Diceros bicornis minor: one gene and its partners. The protein of the gene in region 4 interacts with the protein of the main gene of each other region in a pairwise test. Links are inferred from orthologs where the notes say so. Each region holds a gene or a part of one and is shown on either strand. Other genes may lie near its edges.

Region 1 (7,284 bases), on a different chromosome or scaffold from region 4:
GCCACGTCTTTCTTTGCATTTTTCATCTGTCCCCACCCTACCTTTGTCTCCTGTTTTGGTGTAAATCTTGGGGAGGTTGGGTGTCTTCGAGGAAGGCTGTGGCCTAATGAGAAAGAGACATCAAGAGGTGGTGAGTGGGGATGGCTCACATATGGGGGCCCCTCCTTCAGTGGTCCCGGCTTGCTGCTCGTAGCCTCACGGGCGACACTTACCCCCCCCTGCTTGGATCTCTGTTGACATCTCCTCCATCCCTCTCAGTTTTAAGCCCTTTGTGGGCTCCCAAGCTGTGCCTTGCCCACATCCGTATCTGCACAGTAGCTAATGCAGTGCACTGCTCAATAACTATGTGCTGAAAGAATTTATCGGTCACTTTCCACAGTCCCTACACTGTGTGCATTACTGGCATTATCTCCCAGAATTATCCCTAGACTCTTCCCACAGCCCCAAAGGTAGGCACTACATAGGACGTTCATTTTACTGCTGAAGAAACTGTAGCTCACAGGATGGGACTCATCTTCCTAGGTCACCCAGGGAGGAAGCAGTAGGGCTGGGATTCATGCCCAAGACCATCTTACTTCAGGCCCCAAATTCTTAGCTCTACCCTACCCAAACTCTTTACCCTCTACTCCACCAAGTCAGGCCTCTTTGAGGGAAAGAAACTTGGCCCTCTTCCTTTCTTGGAGCCTCCAAATATACTCAGAAATAAAAAATTGCCAAAACAGCGTTCAAAACCTGGCATTTTCAAATAGCAACATAACACCTTTAATACAGACCTCAAAATTAAAATGTGACTCTGCGGACAGCTAATTTTTGACAGGGGAGCCAAGAACATATAATGGAGAAAGGAAAGTCTCTTCAGTAAATAGTGCTGGGAAAAACTGGGCAGCCACACGCAAAAGAATGAAAGTAGAACTTTATCTTACACCACACACAAAAATTAACTCAAAATGGATTAAAAACTTGAATATAAGATCTGAAACCATAAAACTCCTAGAAGAAAACATAGGGAGTACACTCTTTGACCTCAGTCTTACCAGTGTCTTTTTTTTTTTTTTTTTTTGGTGAGGAGGATTGGCCCTGAGCTAACATCTGTTGCCAATCTTCCTCTTTTTTGCTGAGGAAGATTGGCCCTGAGCTAACATCTGTGCCCATCTTCCTCTATTTTGTATGTGGGATGCCGCCACAGCATGGCTTGATGAGCAGTGTATCAGTTTGCACCCGGGATTTGAACCTGCGAACCCCAGGCTGCCAAAGCAGAGCATACGAACTTAACCACTAAGCTACTGGCTGGCCCAGCAGTATCTTTTTGAATACCACGTCTACTCAGGCAAAGGAAACAAAAGAAAAAATAAACAAATGGGACTACATCAGACTAAAAAGCTTCTGCACAGCAAAGGAAACCATCAACAAAACGAAAAGACAACCCAATAAATGGGAGGAGATACTTGCAAATCATATAGCCAATAAGGGGTTAATATCCAAAATATATAAAGAACTCATACAACTCAACAACAAAAAAACAAACAACCTGAACAAAAAATGGGCAGAGGATCTGAACATTTTTCTGAAGAAGATATACAGATGGCCAACAGGCACACGAGAAGATGTTCAACATCACTAATTACTAGGGAAATGCACATCAACGACAATGAGATGTAACCTCACGCCCGCCAGAATGGCTATTGTTAACAAGACAAGAAATAACAAGTGTTGGAGAGGATGTGGAGAGAAGGGAACCCCGTACACTACTGGTTGGAATGCAAACTGGTGCAGCCACAATGGAAAATAGCATGGAGATTTCTCAACAAATTAAAAATGGAACTACCATATGATAAAGCTATTCCACTTCTGGGTATTTATCCAGAGAATATGAAAACACAAATATGAAAAGATATATGCACCCCTATGTTCATTGCAGCATTATTCACAATAGCCAAGACTTGGAAGCAACCTAACTGCCCGTCAGTGGATGAATGGATACAGAAGATGTGGAGTATATACACAATGGACTACTACTCAGCTATAAAAAAAAAAAAAAAAAGGAAATCTTTCCATTTGTGATAACATATATGGAACGTGAGGGCATTATTATGCTAAGCGAAGTCAGTCAGATAGAGAAAGCCAAATACCATATGATTTCACTCATATGTGGAAGATAAAAACAACAAACATACACACAGACACAGAGAATAGACGGGTGGTTATCAGAGAAAAAGGGATGAGGGGGAGGGTAAAAGGGCACATGTGTACAGTGACAGATGGCAACTAGACCTTGGGTGGTAAACACGATGTAGCCTACACAGAAGTCAAAATATAACGACGTACACCTGAAGTTCACATAATGTTATAAACCAATGTGACCTCAATTAAAAAGCTAATTAAAAGAAAAAAAATTAAAATGTGCACGACAAAGTTATTCAAAGGTTAAATTATTGGATCTATGAAGTATATTAATCCATGGTACTCCACAGGTTCTGAGGTCCGGGAATGGGGTGCAAGTTTCAAGGAACGTGATGACAGCCATCTTTAGATCGTGTGGGTGTATCTCTGTGTCTTAGGGTATACACTGCTTTGGAGATAGGTCAAAATCTGAATTGAGGCACCCCTGATGGCGAGGCCAGGCGAGATGGCCCTCCTGGCCCACACGGAACATGCCCTGCACTGATGGATGACAGCTGGGCCTCGTTCGACTTGTCTTGTGCAAAGAAATCTTGGTCTCTGGCTTCCACGGCGCCCACGTTGCCATGGTGACGTCACGACTAAGAGAGGACGTCACCTGGAGGTTGCTGCAGTGACCTCACAGCGGTGTGACGTAACCATGGCGACGACACCACAATTCACGGCAGGCGTCGGAGTTACCCTCCCAGCCAGGCACTCACCTGTCCCCGTCATCCACGCCCTGGAGGCCGCGGCTCTGGAAACCGGGACGTAGTCCGCTGGCCCCGAGACACCCGCGCAGGCCCAGGCGGCCTCCCAGGCCCCACACAGCCATGCGCCAGGCCGCGGGTCGGGGGCTGACCCCACCAGGCTCCCGTCCAGGTCGCGGGGTGACTCCACCTCCCGTCGGCCGCGCCACCGCTCAGCCGCCATTTTCCATTGGCCCGTGGCTCTCGCACCAGGGCGGGACACTCCCAGGGACTCGTTTCCCATTGGTTTACTGAAGGGGCTGGGCGGGGACACCCGTGACGACTTGGTTAGCAACACCTATTGGCCAATACTCAAGCCAATTGGTAAAGAGACTCCCGGGTCGCGCGCTCTGATTGGCTGGGCGGAAGGCAGCGGCCCACTCCCCCCGTGGCTCGGGAGCCGGGGGATGGAGTCCCGGAGCGGCTCGGGCTCGGGGCGGAGGGGCAGCGGCGGCAGGTGAGGCCAGGGGCGCGGGGCCGGGGGGGCGAGGTCCGAGGCCGAGACCCAGGATGACCCCGGGGCGGGCTCCCGGCGTCTCTGCCTCAGTTTCCCTAACTGAGAATCCGTCCTGAGGGTTCGGGGACTTGGAATCTGACAGACATGACTGAGTTTCGGACAAGCAGTGGGTTTCCTCCCTTCTAAGAAACGGGGATCGCGATAGTACTTAGTTCATAGTGCAGTTCAGGTCTTATTACCGTGTTGAGGTAAGGCACGTACAGCCTTAAATGGAAGGTAATTTTGCGGTATTTATAAAAATCTAAAATTCGCACACCCGTAGACCCTGCAAGTCCCTTTCTGGGACTCTGTCTTGTAGAGATCCTCGCTTAAGTGTGCAAAAAGAGATGCGACAGCTGTTTTCTGCAGCCTGTTTATAATTGTGACACTTTGGAAACAGCGTAAATGACCAGGAAAGAGTTCTTTCTGGTCCATGATTTTGTTTAAATGTCTACCTTTAATAGTAAAAGCTGGAACAAAGAGCAGAGCCAGTAATAAGTAGCTATCAGTAATGAAGTGATTACCATGTACCAGGCACTGCTAAATGTTTCCCTTGCATTAGTTAATTTAACCTTCTCAAAACCCATTGAGGTAAGTACAGTTATCATCCCCGTATAACATGAGGAAACTGAGGTTCAGAGCATTTAAGTGAGTTAGCTAAGATGACATCCCTGGAGAGCAGAAGAGCTGGGGTTTGAACCCGGATCTTTCTCACGCGTCTAGTTGACTGCTGCCCCGCACTGCCTTTGTGGGACGTAGCAAGTGCTGAATGGTGCTGCCTTTTTTGTTATAATGCTGAGCTTGAACTAGGCATGCCCTAAGATCTCTACCATCTGGGGACCTTCCATCCTCTCTCTGGCTTTCCCTTTCAGGATTCCCAGGAGCCATGTTGTCAGAAGTCCTGCTGGTGTCTGCTCCAGGGAAAGTCATCCTGCATGGAGAGCATGCGGTGGTCCATGGCAAGGTAAAAGGCCCCCAGAGCCTTTGAGGATTGACACCACTTCTCCCTGACACTAATCGTGAAAGAGGCTGGAAGGAAGCCTCGAGGCACAGTCTGGGAGTAGATCAGAGAGGAGGTCAATTTCTCCCCAGCCAGGCAGAGAAAAGACAGGTCTTACGCCCGCTGAAGGCTTCTCTGGCCCACTCAGGGAGATAGCAAATGATGATGGGTAAAGCCCTGCCAGTGGAAGGGGATCACCTAGGAAGTGAGCTTTGGTGGAAAAGAAAAGAGGTTCAAGGCCTGGGCTCTGAACACTCCAACGTTTAGAAGTCAGGAAGGTGAGTAGGATCCAGCAAAGGAGTCTGAAGCATGCATTATCTCATTTAACTCTTACAGCTGCCCTCTGAGGTTGGGCTTTAATTATCCTGTTTTACAGATGTGGGTGCTCTGGCTTAGGAGAGGATTGGTAACTTGACTAAGGGCCCATACAGCCAGGTAGAGCTAGGAGTGAACCTAAGTCTGTCTGAACCATTTAACCCAAAGCTCCTGCTTTTTCCGCTCCTCCACTTTGTCGTTCTTTGTGTTCTTAACTTATATTTACCTTTGTAAAGATGGTCATTATGGGGAAGCCGTTCCTGGTGTGAGAACCACTGAAGTTTTGCATGGGGAGGGCAAACATAAGTAGATGTTAACTTCTCATTGGTGGTGGTGGCTGTGCCCAGGCGTAGTGGGCGAACATGCCAAGGTTGGTCAGCAGTGTCTGCCAAGGGCGTGGGTGGGAGTGGCCTTTGTGCTAGTATTTGCTTTCTTCTCAACACATTCACATTGCCCCCTTTTTCCCAAGACAGGAGCCATGCTCCTTGCCACCCACCCTCAGGCTAATTGCTTTTGGCCTTTATTCTGCAGGTAGCACTGGCTGTGGCCTTGAACTTGAGAACGTTCCTCCGGCTTCAACCCCACAGCAATGGGAAAGTGGGCCTCAACTTGCCAAACATTGGCATCAAGCAGGCCTGGGATATGGCCAGGCTTCAGCTGCTGGACACGAGCTTTCTGGGTAAGTGCAGGGAGGAGGAACCAGATGTAGGAAGAGCCGGGACCCTGAAGAGAGGGGGAAGGAGGGTGGCTGAGTAGTCATTCCAGGCTGTCCTGGAGAGAGCCAGAGGTCAGCCACTCTGAGGGTGTTTTCTCTCCTGTGCCCATAAAATTAGCTTCACTTGTTTATTAATTTTTCTAAATTTAAAAGCATAAAGTGATGCACTAGATCTGTGTGAGCTGTTGTGGACAGATCATCAGAGCCTGCCATTGAGTGAAAAAACAAGGTGCAAAACAGCACATATAGGATGATGAGGAGTGACCCAGACTAAGCATCAGTATGTATGTAAATGCAGAGAAAAAGGCTGGGAAGGTATACATCCACCTGACAAGGGTGATTCATTACCTCTGGGAGGGTCCTGCGGTTAGGGAGTGGACACAGGGAGCCTAACCTTCTGTGATGTTGTTTTCACAGGAGAACGTGTTAGCGTTTTATAGAATTAAAAATCATTAAAAGTAAAAGTAACTCATGCTTATTATTGGAAAATACAATTAATACTGGAACAACGTGAGTAAAAAACAATCACCTATTATCACCACCTCCCATCTCACGCACCGTGACAACTCTTAAGCATTTTGTTGTTAATCCTTCTGGATTATTTTCTGTAGCTGGATTGTTAGATTGATTGAGGTAGGAGATATCTTGGTGGGTTTTTTTTAACTAAAATTAGATCAGGTTATATAAACTCTTCAGAAATGTGTGGTTCTTTTTTTTTTTTCTTCAGTACATCAGGATGGTCTTCCCATGGCAATAAACGAAGGCCCCCATGCTAATTTTTGATAGTGTGAGGAATGTCGTGACCGCTCATAAGCAGGCAGGGTTTCCATCAACAGAGTCACCACCTGCCAGAGCTGGAGTGTTTGCTCAGTTTGCTGTCTCCTCCCGGGGCTGCTGCCTTATCCTTTGGAATAGTGTTTCTCAGCCAGAGGGGGACCTCCTCCGGGGTCTTTTCCGTCTGCTCCGTGTCTCTCATGAGAATCAGTCCATAGCAAGCCACTCCCGCATACGGTCGGGAGCTGGAGTGAGAGTTGAAAACCACCGTTTTAGAGCAACCACTTTCAACCTCAGTCATGCCCTGAGAGCCCCTGGGGAGGTTTTTTTTGGTGGTGGTGGTGGTGGTTGTCAACAATACAGATGGATTCTTGGCCCTGCCTGTCTCCTACTGAGTATTGGTGCTGGTGGTAGGGGACCAGGCATGTGTGTTTTGAAAGGAGACACCCTCGATTAAGAGCCACTGCTTTGGAGCATGCGTCTGACAACAGCTATCCAGAGCGACCTGGACCTTGCTTTCCGTGGTGCACAGGGCCACCCAGCCAGGCTGGAAAAGTTCCTTGAGAACTGGCTGCTGCTTCTGTATGTCAGTAGCACGGATGGAAGCAGCCAGGTGTGACGGGACGTGTCTCAGATCACTTCTGACTCCTTGTTGAGCCTGGGCAGGTCACTTAACCCTCAGAGCCTCCATGAGCAGAGTCATGTTGCCTGGGAGGCTTGCTGTGAGGATACAGCAGGATCAGAGGTGGGCACAGAGCTGTGATGCAGAGGGCAGTCCATACGTGAGGGCTTGTTTGTCTGCTTCTCCAAGGAAACAAGGGAATCCGAGCCTTTTGGAGATGTTTTCTCCTAGGTTGCAAGGATCTGCCATCCTTTTGTTCCCTCCTAATAATAATAAACACAGTGAACATTTGGGCGTTTATATGTGCCAGGCACTGAACCACTGTGTTATGTATGTTAGCGCTCTTATAATTCTCCAGCCTTCTCTGGAAGTAGGTCATGTTATTCATCCCCGTTTTATGGATGAGAAAATTGAGGTTCAGAGGCCAAGGGGCTCAGGTCACACAGCTTGTCAGTG
Region 2 (7,024 bases), on a different chromosome or scaffold from region 4:
AGGGTGCTGCAGCCTGTCTTCCTCTGTCCCAGGCAGGGAAGTCAGGCTTTGAGAAACCAGAAGAGAGGCTGCTTTTAATGAGATGCCTCATCCGCAGCTCAGAGGGTTTCGCTTTCCCCTTCATCTTGAATACTTAATCCTAATAGTCCTTGAGTATATTTGATGTTAAATATATCATTTTGCTCAGACTCACCATCCCTCAGGACTGCAAACTTGATCTCTCCCCTGCCACTGAAGCCGGAGCCATACCCTGAGGGTCTGAGGGAGGCTTTGGCACTGCTGCCACCGGCACATTTAGTGCCAGCCCCTCCCCCCAGCCTGAGGTGGGGGCCAGCCAGCGTAGCAAGCAGTGGGCCTGACAGACTGGCAAGGGGTAGCCTCTTGCTGCAGACACCTCTGTGCTACCCGGAGGCATTCACTCAACAAGGGCTGTTTCTCCTTTCTTCCAGGGTCCGGCCCTGACCCATAAACCAGGACTCGACTAGCTGGGACCACTGTCCCACTCTCTTGTCCACGTGTTGTGCTTGGGACTGTATCCCAACACCAGCTCCCCTTAGCCTCCAAGGTACCCAATTAGCAGCCATACAGCTGGCATCCCTTGAGAAGTCAGGGGCCCTGTGCCCCAATCCAGGGACTGCAGCAGGCGTGGGGTGCTGAGCAATGGGTTGCAGAAGCAGCTAGCATACGTCAGCAGAGGACTGGTGCTGGTGTGAAGGGCTGCTTGAGCCCCCAGGCGGCTCTCTCTGTACTCCCAGTTGTGAGCATTGGGCTCCCACACTGATCTGGAGAAGGACCTCCATGGAGGCCGTCTGGTTTACAGAGCCACCCAGCAAGCCCTGGAGGATTTGGGTGACTTGAGCTCCGAGCCAGGAAGGGGCCTGCTGGGTTGACAAAGCCAGACATGAGCCTCTTATACAGCGGCCTCCCTCTCAGCTCCTGGGTAATTGCTAGGCAGGCAGGTAAGTCCTGGGCCCACGCTCACCCCCACCCAAGGTGCCTCCAGGTCTGGGGGCAGGCCCACAACCCCAGGGTGGAATCCTCAGATCCCCTGGGGCTGGGGGAGGCAGTTTGCACCCAACACATTCCACAGGTGATGAGCATGTACTCACACTTCAACACTGCCAAGAGTGCTCCCAAATGCCCTCGAAATGCCTCTGGGAACAGCAGAGGGAGGCCAGCTGATCAGCCCCTAAGGTTACAGTGAGGGATGGGGGTGCGACTGGCTGCTTTACAAAGTTTGGGCAGGTCCTAGCAGCTTGTGGCTGCACCTGGCAGGAAAGTCCTGAGGAAGGGTTCCTGCGTTGGGTTGGGGGGGTGGACTCAGTGCCCGAGGGCCTGGGCAGACCAGATATTCCAGAACTCTTCAGAGGAGGCTGTCAGATGTGCCTCAGCCCGAGGGCCCTGCTTCTAACACAGTGCAGCTGTCTCCAAAGCGGGGTTACAAGCTGCCCTCACAGGTGATGCTCAGAGAGGTATTCAGAGTGACAAGGGCCCCTTCCCTGTGGCCACCACAGGCGACAGGACGGAGTCAACCTACAGACTTTGCAGTACGATCAAGGTGCCTGCTGGCCAAGTGCAGACGCCCTGCCCTGCCCCTTCCTCACACAAAAGCAGCCCATGCACAGGAATTTGCAACCAGGTAGAGCAGAAAAGGTGCAGCAGGCAAACTTTTCCTCTTTTGGTTTCTGGGAGCCCCGGACAGGCCTTCTAGGAAGCTGCAGTTATAATTTGTCATGCCTGCGGAGGCCTAGGCGAAATCTGCACCCCAGAAAACAAGTCTCCCACACCCCCCTGATGAAGGCCAACCCACCCCCACACAACAGCCTGAGACCGTTGTGGGTGTAGGCTGACCAACTGTCCCAGTCTGCCCTGGGACTGAGGGATTTCCCAGGATGCAGGCTTTTCAGTGCTAAAATCGGGCAGTCCTGGGCAAACCAGACAGTCCATGACCATAGTGGGAGGTGGTAGAGAGAGACAAGGGACTAGTGGGGACAGAGAGAAAGGCGAGGCAGCCAGACCCTTCCCTGCAGACCAGCAGCTGCCTCCCAACACCAAATTTCCCAGCCTCCTGCCTCAGGGCTCATCTCCTAGGCACTAAGGAACTGCACCAGCCCCTGGGGATGGTCCATGGGTCAGCAGGGCTGTGAGTTCTCCTGAAACACTGGCATTTAGAATGGGAAGGGGGTGAGATAGACCCAGGGGTGGGTCCAGATTTTGTGAGAGCCAAACTTACTTATGCAATTGGGAGGGTGGGGGGAGCTCTTTAAGAAAAGGAATATACGATCACTAATTAATACAAAATTACCACTGAAGGACTCAGAAGCTTAAACTTCATTAGCTTCCAGGTAAATCTGCCCCTGATATTTTGGATATATGGCCCATCCACCAACCCTAGCCAGCGGGGCACCTCCCTCAGGCTAGGCTGGGGAAACTGATGGCAGGCGCCCTCCCCAGCCCCCGCCCCGGGGAGTGAAGTAGTGTCACCCATCTGGCAGCTATGAAGTTCCAGATCGGAGGGACCCCGGGACCGTGCTGGTTTGACTGCACCCTCACTCCCAGCTTATCTGGGCATCCCCCTGGGGAAGCCGTTCCGCAGTCGGGTGCGGAAAGGGGGACGTGCAGACACCCAGGGAGATGGGGAGCAGTGGGCACTGCGGGGAAGCCGGGCCGCGGGTCGGAGAGGCGCTCCCTGTGCCTGCGAGGCGGCAAGAGCCAGTGAGAAAGTTCCCGGCCGGAGCGTGCGGGGCTGGCGGGCCCGGGGTGACCCGTGTGACTTCCCAATCCCGCTGAGGCACCTCGGGGGCTGAGTCTGGCACCCCCGACACCCACACCCGGCGCACACCCAGCGCCCGCTACCGGGAAGGCGGCCGGGCCGGCGGAGGGGGCGCTGCCGCCGCGAGCGGGGTGGCCTCGGCAGGGCCCGCCCCGCGCCCCGCGCCCCGCGCCCCACGCGTCCCCGGCACCTACCGTCCTCCTGGTCCAACACCATGGTCCCCCGGCGGCTCCAGCCCGGCCCGGGCGGAGGACGCGGAGGGGCGCGCGGCTCCGACTCCGCCGCCGCCCGCCTGCGCTGCTCGCGCCGGCCCCGCGCGGGCTCCGCGCCCCGAGAGCGGCGGCGGCGGACGGGGGCGGGCGGACGGGCGCCGGGAGCTCAGCCTCGCGGGCGGGGAGCGCGGGAGGGAGCGCGGGCGCGAGCCGGGACCGGGATCGCCGGAGCCGCCGCCCGGGCCGGGCTGGAGCCGGAGCCGCCGCGCGCCCGTTCTCTCCGCGCGGGCCGCGCTCGCCGCCGCCGAATGGAGCCTGCGTTTCCCAGGGCCCCTCTGATTCCCCTGTTAATTAAATCAATTCATTATGCTCAGATCTGATTAGCGGCCCTTCCCCCCTTTGAATCAATTATTCAATACACAAACATAATTGCTTGGGCCAGAGGTGCCCGCCATTAGCTTATTTAACTCCAAGGACACTAATTACCCGCAGGGCACGGGAACTTTTCTCATTAATTCTGACAAAACACAAAAGCACAGCCAGAGTGTGTGCGTGTGAGGGACTCGGGGTGTGTGTGTGTGTGTGTGTGTGTGCGTGTCCGCATGCCAGGATGAGGGCTGTGTGGGGTGGTGAGGCACGTTGTGAGCTTAAGAGGAGACTGGGGGCGGCGGAATGCGTGCGATTGCGGGTGGGAGTGTGGGGGCGTGTAGTTTTGAGTGTGTGGCCCTGCTGCTGTGAGTGTGGGACTCCGTGCGTGTGATTGTGAGGGACTGCATGAGTGCATCGGGCTGGGTGTGGCTCCGAGTCTGGGGACTGTGGGCCGGGGTTTGAGACCCAGCACCGGAATGTATGAGATTGTGCGAGGGCTTCTGTGGGTGACTCTGTGAATGTGACTCCCTGGCTACTGTGGCAGGCGACCCCATTTCTTTTTTCATAATTGCCCTGCCATTGTCCGCTGCACGCTCAAACCCAGGGGGAAAGTGCAGACCACAGAAGAGAAACCGGGGAGGGTCAGGAGGGGTGGGTGACGCTGGAGCCAGGCTGGGGCCCAGTGTCCCCCTCCCCCCATCACCTGTTTGTGCACTGGCTGGGCTATGCTCCCCCCGCAGCAGCCCCCCCCACCACGAGTTAAAAACCTCAGTTCCCATTGCCCCCTTCCTTGGCCCCTCCCGAAACTGCCCCCCTCCTGCTTTTATCCCTTTTATCCCAAAGCCCTCCGCCGCTCCTGCCCCTCCATTTCCACATGTGCCTGAGACGCAGGCACACCCCCTCCCAACTCCACCCACTCTACCCTAGTTCTTTGCCTCCTGTCTGCAAGAATGAACGGAGGGTGTGCCTATGGTTGACCAACTTCTCCACATTTTACCTCCCAGGAAATCTATTGAGAGAGCGCGAGTGAGAGAGCCCGCAAAGGCAGGGACACAGAGGGTAATTGATTCCCCCAAATTAGGTTTCTGCTTTCTAAAGACCGGTATTGTTCCTGTTCTCAATGTGCACAGAGGTATTGAAGATTTCCTTTTTGTTTCCTAGGGCAATGAATGAGCTTAATCCATTTGGCTTTATAAATCAGGAAACTAATATTCGCTCCTTCCATAGCAGCTTTTTATAAAATTTAATTGGTGGGGGAGACACGATTTGTCACCCTTATGCTGTCCCCAAGCCCCCACTTATCAAAACACATTCTGATTGAGGGGTGGAGAGAAGTCTGGGGGGGCTCATCCTGATTCCTCCTGCTCTCTTCCATCCTTGCGCATAGACCCACACAGTATCTGGAAAAGTTTGTGAAATGACTGAATGAATTATATTCAATTCAGTGAAGAAAAGGAGGGTACTCAGAGGTGCTCTTCAGAATGATCTTTCAAATCTGCTGCTCGCAATCTCCCACTGAGATTGCACTGAGCAACCCATGCCTGGGGTTGGCAAATCCTCCTCACCATCCTGCACAAGCCACTAGAGTCATCTTCCCGGTGCTAAGATCTGACCCTGCTACTCTCCTGCTCAAAAATCTTCCATGGCTCCCCATTGTCCATAAAACAAAGCCTAACTACTTATCCTTTCATTTCAGGCGCTTCAAGAGATCCAGGGAAGTCTTTGCGACCACCACTATCCCTCACTTCAATTCAATTGATATCTATTGATCTCCATCAACAATCTTACACTCTGGCCCCTCTGGACTGCTTTGCTGTAATTGAATGCATCCCACAGGTTCCTGCTCCAACGACTCTTCTTGTGGCATCCCTCTGCTTAGAAAGCCCTTGTCCCTCTCAAAGTCCTCTGAGGAAATAGCTCCCCTATGTTCCTTTAAGTGGGTGTTTCTGTGTGAAGGCTGGGTTGCTGAGTGCTGTGTGGATTACTCCATTGAAGCCTGAGGGACAAGATCAGCCCCTGAGGGCAGGATTTCAGCTCTCCCCTGGAGCGGGAGGACAGATGTGGTATCAAGAGTCTCACTGGGTCACTGGAGAGAATGGGAGCTACAGAGGCAGGGGAGGGATTTGGATTCAAGAATGGAGGCTCAGAAGGAGACCCTTGGGCACCATCTTTTTCCCCAGGATCTCAGATGGCATGGGACCAGAACCCAGGTGCATGCTTCCTCTGGAGGCCCAGTATTTGGATCTCCATGTTGTTTAGTTCTCTGTGTAGCTAGGCACGCCACTGCCTAGATTGGCGCCTAGATTGGTGCCTAGATTGGTTCCCTGCACTAGAGCATCTGGCCAAGGGAGCAAGAGGGGCTGAAATACTGCTCTCTCTCTGCTCTCCAAGCCATGTACCTGGCATGGGCTGCACCCATCCAGAGAGGGCACCTTTTGCTAATTTGCACAAAGGCACCATGTAGGTATCTCTGCTCGGCCAGAGTTCACACTCAGGGAGGCCAGCCTGAGGGGCAAGCACCCAGCCTTCCCTGCCCCCGCCCGCACTTGCACCAAGGGCCTGTGTGAGCTGTTAGAAGACCAGCTTCCTGGTTTTCATAGAGAAAGAGAAAATTCAGAGAGCTTAACCATCAGGGAGTGGTCAGGGATACTGAAACAGGTGCTCAGCCCCATGTCTGAATTTTTATGGGTCCCAAGCACTGGTGAAAGACATGGAACTCAGTCCACAGCTGAGATTCAGATGTGGACAGACCCGCCATACGGACTGAAGTCCACAACGAGGACCACACTGGAGAGACAGTGAGGTTCCTGAGAGGAGAGCCTCATGGGGGGACTAGACTGAGCCACCAGGCCTGGAGTTTGCAGGGTCACTAGTTCCAGGTATGGCACAAAGCCAGGCCTGACCCACTCCTAACCAGTGCTTCAAGAAGAGAGGGCAGTGGTGCAAATGAGGAACCGGGTCACTAAGGGCCCTACAGCTTTGCTATGGGAGCCCCCTGTGAAAGAGCTGGTCACTAGAAGCAAAACATATGTCCCTGCTGGCCGAGAAAGACAAGAGCAGCTAAGGTCAGCAGCTTGGTGGCATTGGCAGCAGCACATGCGTGGAATGAATGACAAGATGGCCAGAGTGTCGGGCAGCAGCTCTGATAATATGGGAGGCATCTACACCCCTAGCCCATCAACCTCATCCCCCAACCCTGGGATGATCAGAGACAAAATGACTTATCCAGAACACAAAATCTAGCAATGTTCAGGAGGTACTTGGGTCACATGTGTAAGCACTCCTAGAAGGTCTCACAACTTTTTGGAGAGGAGGATCCTGAAGAGGAGAATCAGAGTATCAGAATTGGGGGCTAATTACTGTAAATGTATGAGATCTGGTACTCGGCATTTGTATGGCCTTTATGTTCCAACCTGTCTTAGCTACACAACGAACATGAAGGGAAAGGCTGTGTGAGCAAGAAGGGGCCAGAACAATAACAGGGGAACAGCCCCCACCACCAGCTTTGCCCCATGGCAGTAGAGCTCAGCAGGAGACGCAAAGCGCACCACATCAACATCAGGCAGACCAAAGACCTTGCTCCCATCCTCCCTCCCCACCTGGATGGCCTCCTGAAGCCACAATTGCTCTCCCATGCTCCATCTCTCTTCTCCCCAACCATCTGGTCCCC
Region 3 (7,297 bases), on a different chromosome or scaffold from region 4:
AGATTCATCTTTAACTTTTAGCCCTCTCCTCTACTCCCCAATAAAACACCCTTTCTAGGACTCCTTTGCTTTCTTAGCTCCTTCAACTTTGGAAAAGCCCTTCTTATACCTTGTCCTCACCTTTCAGTAGCTTTTCTGCCAAATCCAACATGGCAGCTGAGCTGTCCACACACATATATTCACGTAGGCTCTGGCCCCAAGTACTATGAGCAGCCCTAAGATGGCAAAATATAAATCGCCAATTCTCATGACAATGAGTCATCCCTACAAGAGACCACTCCACCTCCAACCCCACCCCTGCTGAAACAGAGTGTTATGTTAAAATAGTTGGAAAAACTAACAATTTTCGTTTATAACTCCTTAAAAAAAAAAAGGCAGACTGAAAAAACTACTTGTAGGCAAAAAATTTTGATGATATGTAAAACCTACACCCTAGACTAAATTCTTTTCCTTTTTTATCTTTCTAAACATGCGTCTTTTTTACTTGACATTTCTTTTAAGCTCTGGCCCTAATCCATAATCTTACGCCTTGCCTAACATGAGGCAAGAAACATTCTAGTTCCCAACTTTCCTATTCTCCCTCTGGTTCCACAGTGTCTTGATACTGAAGTGGTGTAGGCATGGCTCTCCAGAGCTAGAATTGACAGAGAAAGATACTCACCAGGTGACAGAACCAGTACCCGAACCAAAGTCCATCAAGGTTTGTGGTTGGAACTCTGGAATTCGGGCCCGGATCTGAAGAAATATATAACACCCCACATTAGGGTAAATAGACACTTATTTAGAGCCTTGGTGAATATGAATTAGGGGACTACGATAGAGGAGATGCGACGTGAACGTGTTTTGAGATTCAATGTAAATACTTTATAGGATAGGAAGCTCCTAAAAGAGTGATTCTAAATCTTTCTTGGGTCACAAATCTTTTCAGAGGATAAAGAGGGCCTCTTTAAAGAAAGAAATGGACATGCAATGTCCCAAGAATCCTATCCCAGGAGACTACTTTATGAATCACGGAACTGATGGTAAAAGGGTTCAGGTTGAAGTTGAGGGACTTTCACCTCATGGAATGCCCTGGAGACTGCTGCAAAGCCACCATCCAGTCTTGCTGCCATGTACACCAGGCTCAGTCCCTCATTGTAGCTGCCAGGAAAATCAGAGAGTCATACCCACTGGAAAATAACTATCTATCCCATAGCTATCTTCTAGACTTTTAGGAAACGAAATCTTTGGAAAGGGCTCTTCCAATTCAACACTTTCACTCCTCAACAGAGAAGATTCTTGGGGAGCCTTACAAACCAGACAGCTTTTTCAAACACTAAACTGTGTAACTGTACTTCCCCAACTCTCCTTCTGAAGTCAAACTTTTCTTTCTTCTACAGCCCTTCTAGTCCCCCTTACCTCAGTTCTCGCCAGTGGTAGGTAGTTCTGCGCAGGGCATGCAGCACTGCTCCACAAAGTTTCTCCTCTGTCTGAGATGAGTCTGGGGTGAGAACAAGGACTGGAAGTGAGGACCTAGGAAGAACAGGGCTCAGATCCAGTATCTGAATATACTGCCTGCCCATTCCTCCCCAACTCCCACCAGGGAAAGCCTCAAAGCTTAGGAGAGAAGCCAAACCTAGAGAAAAAGTTCAGGTAAGAATAACGATGACTACCACCACCAACAGATTGCATCAGATAGTATTTTACCTCTACCAGCAGTTTATTCAACTCCATCAACCCTATCCCACAGGTTTTGTTCTTTATTCAAGGGAAGTATGGTAAAGAATCAAAGGATTGGATAAGGACAATATATTGTGGATTTCCTCCTTTCTCCCACACTTAAGATTGTGATGTCTCCAATGTTCCTATAGGGAGGAAAGGGGCTTGAAAATCTTAAGCCTCATGACCGTGTTCAGTTCAGTACTATTTTATCTACTGAGCACCTACTATGAACCAGGCACTGTGGGAAGTGCAGGGAATACAAGACGAAGAAAAAGTAGGTCTGTAATATGCAGGAGCTCACAATCATGAAAATAACTTGACAAATTATACTTAGTATTCTCCTATCCCTGAAGAGGGTTCCAGTACTGGACAGGGAGCCAAACAGGGACTTTATTTCACTTGAATAAAAACTTAGACGGTCCTAATCCAGCGGACTTGGAGGACACAAATAAACATCTAGATTTCAACAGGATACTGAAGCACTCGCTGACCTTTACCAAAGCCCCAAGGGCAATCTCTGAAATAATCTTTCTTCTCTTGATAAGACGTCATTGTAATAACTGCTCTGGCCAGAAAGTCAAGCAAGAAAACGCAGTATCTATTTGAGAGACGGTAATATTATTTCTTGCTCTTCACTTCTCACCGATATTTCAATTTGGCCTCTTTATTCTTAAGCCCTACCTGGGTTTTCCAAGAATTTTTTCTCAAGATGTACAGCCCGTCTTTGCAACTCCTCTGGCTCTATAGGTAAATGCCGGCTCCAGAGATAATTGGTCAGTGCTTGCACCTGCTTCTCCACATTGGGCATAGACCTCTCTACGGGCGAAAGATGAAAAGCGGCATCACTCGCGGGCAGCCCCAGTCTCCGCCTCTTCTCGAGCCTCCCTTTCCACCGTCACTCACCGAGCAGCAGTAACTGCGCGGCGTCAGCCAGGGCTTGCGGCAGCCGCACGCGCGGCAGCTGCAGGATGCCAGGGTGCCGGCGATGGGGCCTCTTCCCCAGAAAATCGGACTTGTTATCCACCTGGGATACGCCGGGCACGAGGGCGGCGAGAGCCTGCAGCCCGGGAAAAGAAAGCTGACTGCGAGGGGCAGAAGGCAAGGTTCTGGGCGTTCGCTTAGAGAGGAGCTGCCGAGAGCGCCTCCCAGAGATCCAGCGTCCCTCCGAGAACAGGGAAAAGCAGGCACTCACGCGAGACTGGGGAAGTACTCCAAGGCCGCGGCGCCATCTGCCTAATGTCTGCAGATACTTCAGTTCCAACGCGGTCGCCATGGCTCCCGAGGCGACCCGGAAACGGAAATGTAGGTGCCTGTGACCCTCGCGGGGACCATGCCCTGCGGAACAGCGGCACCGGGCAGTATTAGCCAATGAAGAGAGCCAGTGCTTGCTGGTAGCCAATAAACAATAGATATGTAAATCACCTTGCAGAGTAACTGTACATGGATCGGACTTGGACCTCGGTTCCCACGTAACTAGTCGCAAGCGAGGTGGCGTCGCGGCTGCGTTGGGACTGGTCTCCGGGTCCAGACATCGAGGGGGCGGGGCGGGGCGGGGTGGGGAAGGGCCCTTTCCTGGAGTCTCTAGAAAGGCGCCTTAGACAGGCAAAGACTATTTCTGGGTGTAATAATTACCTGAGCTCCTTGCTTTCACTACGGAGAACTCTGAAGCCTTGGAGTTTTTTTTCCCTTTGTGTAAAGAGTAGAATGGAGTAACGGAAAGATGAGATATGAAAAACCAGATTTAGGTGACCGAAGATAACAGAGATTTATAGTTAATAGAGTTAATGTTTTTTACATGTTAGTTTGTCTTCATATTAAACCGGCCCTCTTTGATAAATAGCTGACACTTAGAGCATTATGTGCCAGATACTGTGGCACGCACTTTTACGCAATATTACTCCATTTAGTCCCCACAATCCTATGAGGTAGATTCTGTTGTTAACCCCATTTTGCAGCTGAGAAAAGTGAGTCCTCAGGTGGTTAAATATCACGCCCAAGATCACAAAGCTTGTTAGGTGACAACTAGGTTTAAACCTAGGCAGTCTGAGTCTGAGCTTCACTTTTAAACATAAGTCCTACCTCACATTGTTGCTCCTTGGAATGCAAGTTAGCAAGTTAACTAAGAACAATATGCTAAATGTTCTGAAGTGTTCAGTTACCGTGTAGCATTAAAACAAACTCACTGTGTTGTAACCTGTTGATTCCTATAGCAAACACATTAGTCAACTCTGGTATATCTTAACCTTTTGAGATAGAAATCTGTTGGCTGGAAGGATAGAAGTGTTGTTGCCTTTGCTGTAACTGAAAGAGTCCAGATATGATAATTATAGATAGAATATGGGGAACTGTATCATTTGGAGAGTTAAATGTCTGGTTTGCATTTAGGTTATTAAGCTTTGATTCTAATAAAGGAGGTCTTTGCTTTATAATCTGAATACTCTGGAAGGAGACTTGAGGGGTGCTTAGGACAACTGTTGTAAATTCCCTACTCACTGCTCTCCTCCCTTTCAGGTTCACCTTCTTCATTTTGTTTCCCCACGCTTTGATTCACAGTGCTACACTTAGCCTCATGTCTGTGACACTTTGCTTTTACTTTAAATTGCTGGCTCAAGTATTAGCAAAATAAAATATCCCTGTCACTGTAGGTTAGCTGTAGCATAAGATTGGCTATGTTATTTTTTGTCATAGGGAGGTAGCAGAACATAGGGATAAGATGCTTGGCACCTGGAATCTGGCAGTTTGAATTTGAATTCTAGAGCAGCAAGATAATAATAGTTGCTACCTCATAGGGTTATTGGAATGATGATTTCATGAGCTAATGTCTGGCCCAAAGTAAATGCTCAATATATTTATGATATTGTTATCATATATGTGATCATGTATTTTGGGAACTTGAAGGGACATAATCACATTTTTATTTATTTATTTATTTTATTTATTTATTTTTTTCCCCCAAAGCCCCAGTAGATAGTTGTATGTCATAGCTGCACATCCTTCTAGTTGCTGTATGTGGGACGCAGCCTCAGCATGGCCAGAGAAGCGGTGCGTCGGTGTGCACCTGGGATCCAAACCTGGGCCGCCAGCAGCGGAGCGCGCTCACTTAACCGCTAAGCCTCGGGGCTGGCCCCACATTTTAATTTTTATTATAAATTTATGTTTTATTTCCAAGACAGACTTGAAAGTGGGGATATTTGGGGCCAAGTAAGACTGAGCAGTGGAGACTGAGGAGTAAGGAGCAGGAGAACTTGGGTGGTGCCTCTGAATGTCCGTCTTGTTTTTCCCATCAAGCTGCCAACATAGCTGTGGCCTCCTTCATTCTAGCACTGGCCTAATTGGGATTGTTCTCTTCCTTTGGTAATACAACATCTCAAAAGCTGACTTAGACCTAATTTTAAGTGTCTTTGTTCTTAATCCAAAGTATTGTTCATAAAAACAAAAGAAAACAAAAACGTCCACACCATCTTCCTCATAGATCAAAGATGTCCTCAAGACATCTAAAACAGTGAACACAATTCTTGGTGCATTGAAAATGCTTAATCAATATTTGTTGATTATGTTGATAAAATGACCCCTCTTTGTTTTCATGCTTGGAAAAGGTCAGCAGAATAGACTAGTTTGAGGATCTGAGTCTAATCGTTTGACCAGGTCACAATTCCCCAAATGCATAGATGAGCCCATTTCACACCTAATCCGTGAATTCTGCCATGTTAGCATTGGTCATACCTTGACTTGGGTAGTATTTCCAATTAGTGGCTCTACGTTAAAAGAAACAGACATAAATGTGGAGAAAATAGACAATATTAAGAGAAATAACCCCCACCCCCAAATTAAGTAAGGGAAAATAAAAAAGATTCTCTGAGGAAGATTTGGATAATCTGGTTGGAGATGGATGATGACCAACTGGTTTTCTCCACTGAGTTCATGAAAAAGGGAAATAACTAATAATTAGATTCAGAGAAACTCTCAACAATGAAGGTGTAAAGCAACTGCAATAAGTTTCTTGGGAAATTAAAGAAATTCTGCCATCAAAGATCCCAAATAGTATCCTTTTTATCTCCTGCTTCATTTCTTTTTGTTATTTTCCTTTTTTTAAATCTTCTATTCTCTTATGGCATTATGTTGTGTTTGTGTTGGTGTATTTTCTAGGTTGGTCTTTATCTTCTTTTTTTTTTTTTGTGAGGAAGACCAGCCCTAAGCTAACATCCAATGCCAATCTTCCTCTTTTTTTTTTGCTGAGGAAGACTGGCCCTGGGCTAACATCCATGCCCATCTTCCTCCACTTTATATGGGATGCCGCCACCGCATGGCTTGACAAGCGGTGTGTTGGTGCATGCCCGGGATCTGAACCTGTGAACCCTGGGCCGCTGCAGCGAGCGTGCGCACTTAACCGCTGCGCCACCAGGCTGGCCCCCAGTCTTTATCTTCTAAAGGATTTTACTTTTATTTGTAACTTCTCCTGAATGTGTCACCTTTTTTTCTGAGTTTTTTTCTAATTTTGATGCTTATTGTTCTTTCATGTCTTGGATTATTTTCTTAGCTTTTTTTGAAACCATGGATTACAGTTTTAATCTGTTTTGTGGACATGTCTGTGTTAGTTTAGGTTCTTGGCGAAGCAGACATTAAGATGGGATTCGATTTGTAAGACACGTATTGGGCGAAATGCCTGTGAGGGGGAAAGAGAGGGGGAGAAGAAGAGATAGGAAGAGCTGTCAGACTGTGAAGCAGGTCTGACCTCTGTGAAAGACAGAGGGAACGAAAACACGTTGGATAGGCACAGTTCTAAAAAAGTTTCAACCAGGCTGATGGAGAGTCTTTGAGCCCAAGGTGGCTGTTGGAGGAGTCTTGCATCTCTTGGAAATGGGCCTGACTTAGTATCTCTGCTGCACTCAGTCATCTTTTAAGAGCAGCCCATGGGAGGCAGAGCAGATTCACCAGTGTGGCAGTTAGGGCCATTGGTCAGTTATGATCCCCCCAGCAGGAGATCTGAATAGTGCATTTTCATAGCTGCCCTAAAGCCACACAAATCTACTTCTCCAGATAGGTTCAAGGGACAATTCCTTCAAGCTTCATATGGGCTTCTGTTCCTGAAGGGAAATATAGAAGAAGGAGGTTAGTGGGACAAACTATAGCCACTGTCACTGCATTTGATCCCAGGGCTGTAACTGGCACCCATCCTCTCCCTCCTTTACTATCCATTCTAATTTCCTCTTACCCTCAGCTATCATGTCATTATGTCTTAGTGACTTATCTGGTGTTGTGACCCAAACCTTCCTTCTTGAGGGGTCTAAACCCTTGATAGTCATATCTTTCTCTGGCTAAGGTTGCTACAAATGTACATTCACAGTTACAGTGGAGCATGGGAATTCCAGGAAGCACCCAAGTAGATCACTTGGGTTCCACATGAATTCCTCTCTGCCCCCATTGTGTAAAAGCAGCCTGCCTCCTCCTGCTGATTAGGGTTACTTAGCCCTGACATATGGTAACTCCTCTTTTCATCTGCTGGTCCCTAGACCCAAGAAATCCAAAGTGTCCTGGCAGCAGTTATAGACTGTAGTTCAATGGGAGCCTTGATATGTCACCTGGCAAGAGAGCATCC
Region 4 (7,680 bases):
TGAGCATAGTTGTAGGGGAACAAAGCACATAAGTAGAGAGATCAATTAAGAAGCCTGTCAAAGTCTCCAGACAAGAGAAGGTGGTGAGAAATGACCAGATTCTGGATGTGTGTTAAAGGCAGAGGCAACAGGATCTGAGAACAGGTTACATGCGAGGTGAGAGAGAAAGAGAGCAGTCCAGATGGTTCTGAGATGCTTGGCTGAGCAGTGGAGTTTACTGAAACGACCAAGACTGAGGGAGGAGCAGATCGTGGGAGAAGATCAGGAGTTTGATGTTGGCCATGTTAAACAGAATACGCCTAGGGATACCCTAGCAGAAATGTCAAGTCAAGCAGGTGGTCTGGGTTTCTTGTGAATGCTTACAGAAAGGACGTGGAATGGTAAAGTGAACAAGGGCTTCAACCATTATTTTTGCCAAAAGTACAGAAACATTTGTTTTATGACCATTTTTATATCAATCGGCAATAAAAATCAAGGGCGTACTCTTCAATCATAGCTAAGTGAAGGTACTTCTGGAAGCAGCCAAGTTGGTGTAGCAAAGGTCCTAAAAGATGTTGCCCTCAGGAATCTAACTTAGAACAAGGATGGAGCTTACCAAAGCTGGAGGAATCTGGATCAGCTCACACAGACCTCTGTCTCTCTCTCTCAACTGTGATTTCAGATTTGCCTTTGGCAAGAGTGAGCTCTTTGAATGTGCTTATTCTCTGGGGTAGAAGGTTAGGTGGCAAGGTTGACATTTTGCTATGAAAAGCAAAAAAAGAGACTGATAAATTCTCACCAAGATCAAGGCCCATCTCATTCTCACTTGAAGGCGGGTCACTGGGATACCTGAAAGACCTACTAGAATTTTTCTTTAAAAAGAGCTGTGAATTCACTCAAATGGGCAGATGAATCCCAAGCTGCGACTTCAAAATGATAAGCTGATGCTTAGCAACAATTTGGAATTATTCAAGTTAAGATGTTGTGTTTTCCTGACAAAAGGGTGGATCTCAGAGAGTGGCTTCTACAGACAGATATAAGTTAATCCTTTCCCCATGCAAATAATAAATGTGTCTATAGTTCCTCCAGGCCATCCCAGTCCAGAGGGAAAAAAAGTGTGCAACTGTCAGAAATGTAGCACAACTATCAAAAGTATCTATCAGCAACATAAATAGGGAAACTTACATCACAGTTGAGTTTTGCCTCTGAAAGTGTAAAAATCACAGCCTTGTTAAATTCTTTGAAACAAGGGACTTTGTCTTCTTCAATCTATATCCCCAGAACCTCCTAGAACAATGCTAGCACATAATAGGCATTCAATAAAATACTGACAAAGGGATGAATCAATCAACAGCAAGAAATAATAAAAACAAAACCTATGAGCACCATCTTGTGGAAGGCCTTACCATGACACCATCCAAGATGCCTGTCACCAGGCTGAAGAATGGACACTGAAATTTGTGTGACAGAGCCTTACCGGCCAGGGACTGTGGGGAACAGCAGGCTAAGAAACTTATCTTGAAGCTGTGTTTGCAAACCAAGTACACTTTTTAGTTAGATTCAGGTGAGGTTGCTGGAGATGATGGGGGCTACAAAAGTCCCCCCAAGCCAGCCCTTGGCAGTGTCCCTGAGTATAATTGAGAGGTGTGTAGATCCCAGAAGTAGTCTTTGACCAGTCCCAGCAAAAATGGTTGTAACAACCTAGCCTCAAATTCTTCCTTTGTGCTTCAAGAAATCCTTGGGAACCAACAATCCCAAGAGCTCTTCGGACACCAGGTAGCATCCTCTGTCTTTCTGCTTCTGCTACACCCCTCCCCAACTCATTGAGGCTCCTACTGTCGCCCTGTGATACTCATATGGACTTGGCCTCTCTTCTGTTTTCCTCCAACTTTCTCCACGTTGGAGTAGGAAGGGAGAGAGGCAGAAATAGTTATCTGGTCACCTTCCATTTGCTCATCTCCTACAGGACCACCAAGCAGAGGTGGAACCACCAAGAACCACAGAGGTTCTCTGCGTCACATGCCTCTCCCACTGGAGTCCCCTTTTCTGTCATTCCCACCCCCTTCCCAAGAGCCTGGCACAGGCCACGGAGAGACAATATGAAGAAGCCCAGTAACACACACTGCTGGTGTGCATAGGGTACTCACGACTCTTCAGGTTTTGTGGAGACCTGGAGCTTATACAATTTGGACTCTCTTCGAGAAAAAGAATAAAATATTACAAATACAAATTTAGGTGCAAAAGTGAATAAGCTATTTAGAATGTGAGAAGAAATCACAGCAAATCACTGGCACCTCAAAGATCCAAGTCCTTTTCTTCTGAACTCTGACAACTGAGCAGAAATGCTTACACAGAAATGGATTGCAACCCAGCCGCCTCACCCGACCTGGGCCACTCTGCAACCCTCAACAAGTCCACTCAGAGTGGCCACGGCATGTGAACTTCATCGGCTTCCTCCAACCCTTGACCCCAGATCAAGCCTCTGCACGTGGACTGTCCCCTCAGGGCAGCTCCTTGCCCCCGCCCCCCGACAGTCCTCCAGGCTGCTTAGGGGTCTTTGTCCTGGGAACCAGCCCAAGTGAGTCCACTCAGGGTGCCTCAGGGGAATACCCGCCCTTCTCCCGGCCAGCACACCCTGCAGCCCACAACCTGACCGAGTTAGAGAGTCTCAGCTCTAGGGAGTCGCAGGCCCTGTCTCCATCTCAGCAACCCCTCACAAGCTCGCGCTGGGGCCCGGGATTGGGGAAAGCTGACGCGGCATGATTCTGGAAACAGAAAAATAAAGCTATAAAATTTACATACCATTAAATAAATAATAAAATCAAATAAAACTCCACCAGTCTTTGCCGCGCCTCCTCTGCCCCGGAGCACGGTGTGGATTAGCAGCATGGCCGGCGCCAGCCGACACCCAGTACTAGCGGTCTGCCGTCCACCGTCCCCATTCGGGGGAACACCTGATGCACGTGGCCATGACGCAAATAATGAAAACTTTCCGGCCAGCCACGCACGCTTGGCCCAGCATTTCCGCCGCGACGACGGGGGCTGGGAAAGGGAAGCCGGGGGCAGGTCCAGAGGCTTGGAACCCCGGTACGCCTTAGAAGGGCGCGGGGGAGGGAGAGGGGCGCCGTTCCCATGGCAACTGAGAGCTGAAACACACGAGTGCAGCCTGGGAGACGGCGCTGGAGCTGCGCCGCCGTCGGCGCGGGTAAGGGCTGCCGACCTTAGCCGCCCGTGCTCCGGGAGACCCGCTCCTCCTCCTCCGGCCCCCGCCAGGCAGGAGGGAGGGGGAGCTGCGTCCAGAGTCTGGGGAACAAAGAAGCGTCACCTCGGAATTCTTTGTCTCTCTCCGCATTCTCTGCCCCTCCCTCCTTTGGCCCTCCTGTTCCCTGCTGTGACCGCGCTTCTACGCTTTGTGAAGGGCGGTGTTGGGCCCTGACACTTCTGCAAATAAAGGAGGACTGGGTCCTTAGAACCCTGGCCCTGAGTTTAAGGAAACATTATGGGTGTGGACGGTGTAATTTCTTCCTTTTCAGCCTGCATAGTCCAGTCAACTAGGCAGGAAAAACAATTCACCGCATCCAAAATTCCATCCCTGTGCACAACCAGTTCCTGTGAGCCAAAGCAAATCAGTTTCCCCTGTCATCCCACCCACCCCTGTCCCCCCCGACCTTAAAATGAGAGAGAAGCAGTGGTCCTAAACTTCCAGGGAGAAGGTGAGGAGGGGCCAGTGGCTGGTCCTCCACAGATGTTCTGTGCTGAGTGGCTGCTCAAGGTCACCCTCCTTGAAAGTTCAAATCTGAATACATTTGAAATTCCATTTATAAAAAAGGCCTTAGGGAATTGTGTTTTAATGAGTGCACTGGGGTGTCCAAACTGCTAAAAACTGCACTGACTGGTCTAAGGGAGGTCAACAGAACTTTTTGGCTTCAGTGTTGCCCCCTGGCGTTTTTTAATGTGGATCTGGATCAGCGTGGGCATGGCGCCATGGAACTTGCCCAAGTAGGCCATCAGTTGTTCCCCCAAGAGGGAAGGCAGCTGCCTTCAGCCAAGAAGCCTGCCAGTTAGTTAGAGAGGTTATAAACAGCTACTGAGGACCATACGGCCACAAGACGACCTCGCGTTTGCAGAGCCCTCTAGAACACCCTGGATCCTTTACAGAAATGAGACTTCTCCCCTTGCTCCAGCCACGGTTTCCAAGCATCTACTGGCAGCAACTGAGCTACACCCAAAGGCGCTATGGCTCACCCCATTCTCTTCATCAGCTTCAACTTTGCCTTCTGAGCCCACTCACAACTCATCTCTTGGTTGTCCCTCCACAGCAGGAGAGAAAGTTAGATGGATGGGGGCCTGAAAAGTCCAGACCGAAAACTTGATGTGAGGTCAGTCTCCTATGTGCCCTTTCTTCCCATGGATCATCCATTCAGTCCACAAACTTCTGTGGAAATCCTGCACATGCCAGGCGTTGTGTGAGGCTGCCGTCTCATGGGTGAGGCAGGCATGCAAACAAATGTGAACAGTGCAGTAAGAGAAGGGCATGAGAGAGCTGTGGGAAAAAGAGGATAGACCTTCCAGAAGAGCGTGCACGTCTTCACAGAGGAGGTGACTTTGAGTTGGGTTTTAAAGAATGAACACGCTTGCTTTAAAATAAGAAAATTTGAGAGTGAGGCTGGGACCCCAAAAAGAAATCTCCCTCTGGAAGAATTGCTGGAAATGTATACTGCATTCTCCAGAAAATAAAGCAGGACTGTGAATATCTTGGAGTAGAAAACCGAGAGAAGACGGAAAAAGGGCCAGGAGGACTGCTCAGCAGACAGAGCCCTCGGCCCCAGCTCTGAGGAACTGGAAATGCCCAACCTGACTAGAGCTAGTCCATGACTGGCCCAGAGCCCCTGCCTTTTTCTAAGTTGACGCTTAATGTTAAATAATGTAACACTGTTAACAGGGCCTCCTTCTAGGCACATCGAGGATTAATAGGAAAGACGTCAGCCCTACAGGTCGAGTTTTAAATAAGCTCGCCTGTGCTAGAACCAAGTTTCTCTCCAGTCTGCTATTGGAAGGAACACATACAACTATCTACCAAAGCTTGAGGCTTCTCTTGCACCTTGAGACAGGGTGAAGCCTTGCCCTCCCATCTCTGCTGCTGTAGTCGGGGCTGATGTGTCCTGTTAGGTAGCGCCTCAGTAGCAAATTCCTCACCCTTCGCAGTCCTCAGCCAGGAGTCCTCAACCCAGCACCTGCTGGTCTCCTCCTAGATCTTAGGGGTTTAGTTGGCCTCTTCACTTCCGGGTTGTGTAGCTCCAAGTCTCTTAGTCTAGAAGCATAAGCCTACATTCTTCCTGTCCCACCAAAAATAGGAGGTGCTGGTTTAATAACAGAGTTTATTTAGTTTTTCATATTTAATCCCCCCAAACTCCAAAATGTGGAGCCGGGCATCATGCCGTTTTAGACTGGTGCCTTTGCCTTTTAGAAGAAAGGGATGCTCAGGCAGCACAGCCCAAGTCCTGAGCCTGCCTCTCAGCTCCAAATCCGTCCAAGATCCCCAGGCCTATTTTCACCAGTAGTTGTGATAAACTTCAGCTTTATGTTGGGTCACAGCTTCAAGCCACGCTTTTGGAGCTCAGCTATATGAGTGTGGTTTGCACCCGCCCATGGCCATGCACTCAGTGCCCCAGGAGTTACACCTGACCATGTTCCCTGATGCACTGTCTAAGGAAATAAGCACTAGCAGCACTCCTCACCCGGGTTATAATTTTCTGCCCTCCTGACAGCAAGTGGAGCTCCTCAGCCCTAACCAAATCAGTCGGTGCAACCAGCTTTCTATGGGGTTCAGGGATTCTAGGAAGCGCTGAGCAGAGATTCAGGGACAGCTCCCAGGTGGCACCTGGCACTGGCCCAGAACCCACTAATTCCCAGGACTCTGTAGCCTCTTGGCTGCGGAGGTTTCTTTCCTTAGGAGGGCCTGGGGATATCCCTCTTTGAATAAGACATGGGTCCAACATGGGATAATGGGTCTACCAAGGCCACCTATTCTCTGTCCTACAAAATTCCTAACTCCTGGAAATTTGCAGACTCCAGGCACCATCCTGGGCTCTGTGATGTGAGCAAATGAGCCATTCGGCCTGGACACTGAGGACAGCCTCTAAATGACCACATGATTATGCTTGGAAGAACCCCATGAGCAGTCGTAACAAAAAATCCCTTTGCTCTTGGTCTTACCAGCCTTCCCAATGACTAATTGGGCATTTTCAGGTCGTAAATGACCCCCTTCCTTTCTCATTCTGTCCCTCTCTGGTCTCTAATTGAAATCTAGAATGCTCGGTGCTTCTCCAGTTTGCCGTGTCAAAACTTAGACCCATGAGCCAAGGCAGCTGAACTTGATTCTTTAGGGAGGTCAGGTGGGGGTTGGGGGCCCCACTGGTCGGGCAGGTAGGAGATAGGAGAAAAGGCTGTACCACCAGACAGTAATAGCCTAGCCCCCTCCGTAAATAAGCTCCCCTTACCCTCATCCTCTACACAGAATTTTCTTTCCATTTCCTTATGGTGGCTAAAGCCTGTCCCCCACCCCAGCCCTGGGACCCCTCTGGCTAGCATTTATCTACATGGAGACTGCCCATTTCTCTCATGGGCCCCACACCCCAGAAGCCAGAGGGTGGCATCCTCCTAGCTTCCTATTTTCTCCCCTTACAGATAATGCTCTTCCAACTCATGTTAAAATCTTCCTCTTTCTTTCATGACGTAATCACACTATACCATATTTTAATTCGTTTTTCTGTCTCCCTGCTTAAGCAAGATGCTTTCTTGAGGTCTGTAGGTGTGCCTTACGTGATCTTGCAGCCCCAGTGCCTGACAGTGTCTGTTACATAGAAAGTCCTCCATGGATGTCTGCAGAAGAAAGAGGAAAAGAAGAAAGGAAAATGGGATAGGAAGGAAGACTTGGAAGCTTATCATTCTCAGTAGCACATTTAAAAGGTCTGGTTAACACACTGAATGATAGAATCGGATTCACAAACATTTGAGCAGCCTGGAAGGGTGAGACAAAGCTAGCAAGATGAAATTTAATACTGATCCATATAAATACCTGTATCAGGTTCAAAAAATAAACTTAAGTTTAGCACCAAAAAGAAGAGAAAAAACAGGTAAAGAACTTAAAAGCTACCTTTAAACATTTGCAGCCCGCTGCGGAAGAAATTTGTTGTATGTAGCTCCAGAGAGCAGACCTGGGAGGCTGGTCGAAAGCCCAGGGGAAAAAGATTTATAGGCAAAATCTGTGTAATTTGTTACATGCTAAATATGGTGCCTGGTACATATTTAGCTGAATAATGGTGGCTGAATAATCCCACATCTACTGCCGTGTTCTGTCTTATCATTATTATTACCAGGATCGTCGTCATTATTTATTATTCATAAGAGCTGTCCAACAGTCTGTCTCAATGAGCACTAAGCTCCCCTCCCTGGAAATCCCAGGTTATCACCAGGTAGCCACCTGTCTGGGGTGTTTGTCGGCCTGATTCCTAACCCCTCGCCTCCCCTTTTCCATAATCCTCTGATTCAAAGAGCAATGCTCTGCATGTCCTGGGTAGTGAAAGCTACAGATACAATTCCAGGCTGAGCAAACTGTCTTTTATGTAAAGAAGCTTTTGTGCTCCCCACATTTGCTGCAGTGTGCCTCCTTCAAGCAACCCCTCCGAAGCATCTCTTTGA

Evidence for each region.
Region 1: the proteins of CBY2 (region 4) and MMAB interact in binary tests that used the Homo sapiens proteins (3 or more experiments, as listed by UniProt). The two-hybrid records come from large-scale screens. The link is inferred for Diceros bicornis minor from reciprocal best matches to the Homo sapiens genes CBY2 and MMAB.
Region 2: the proteins of CBY2 (region 4) and LMO1 interact in binary tests that used the Homo sapiens proteins (3 or more experiments, as listed by UniProt). The two-hybrid records come from large-scale screens. The link is inferred for Diceros bicornis minor from reciprocal best matches to the Homo sapiens genes CBY2 and LMO1.
Region 3: the proteins of CBY2 (region 4) and METTL17 interact in binary tests that used the Homo sapiens proteins (3 or more experiments, as listed by UniProt). The link is inferred for Diceros bicornis minor from reciprocal best matches to the Homo sapiens genes CBY2 and METTL17.

The regions. Positions count from the first base shown.
Region 1 is NC_080774.1:17,971,892-17,979,175, reverse strand, and holds the start of MMAB (corrinoid adenosyltransferase MMAB), read right to left. Parts: upstream 3,012-7,284; 5' UTR 2,993-3,011; coding exon 2,880-2,992; intron 104-2,879; coding exon 42-103; intron 1-41. Other genes in the region: MVK (mevalonate kinase), read left to right, coding at 4,289-4,366, 5,249-5,396. UniProt on the Homo sapiens protein: Converts cob(I)alamin to adenosylcobalamin (adenosylcob(III)alamin), a coenzyme for methylmalonyl-CoA mutase, therefore participates in the final step of the vitamin B12 conversion.
Region 2 is NC_080746.1:67,144,743-67,151,766, forward strand, and holds the start of LMO1 (rhombotin-1), read right to left. Parts: upstream 3,015-7,024; 5' UTR 2,990-3,014; coding exon 2,968-2,989; intron 1-2,967. UniProt on the Homo sapiens protein: May be involved in gene regulation within neural lineage cells potentially by direct DNA binding or by binding to other transcription factors.
Region 3 is NC_080744.1:28,280,934-28,288,230, forward strand, and holds the start of METTL17 (methyltransferase-like protein 17, mitochondrial), read right to left. Parts: upstream 3,001-7,297; 5' UTR 2,975-3,000; coding exon 2,894-2,974; intron 2,759-2,893; coding exon 2,605-2,758; intron 2,518-2,604; coding exon 2,383-2,517; intron 1,481-2,382; coding exon 1,399-1,480; intron 1,141-1,398; coding exon 1,059-1,140; intron 736-1,058; coding exon 662-735; intron 216-661; coding exon 121-215; intron 1-120. UniProt on the Homo sapiens protein: Mitochondrial ribosome (mitoribosome) assembly factor. Binds at the interface of the head and body domains of the mitochondrial small ribosomal subunit (mt-SSU), occluding the mRNA channel and preventing compaction of the head domain towards the body.
Region 4 is NC_080748.1:31,138,770-31,146,449, forward strand, and holds the start of CBY2 (protein chibby homolog 2), read right to left. Parts: upstream 3,002-7,680; 5' UTR 2,869-3,001; coding exon 2,782-2,868; intron 1-2,781.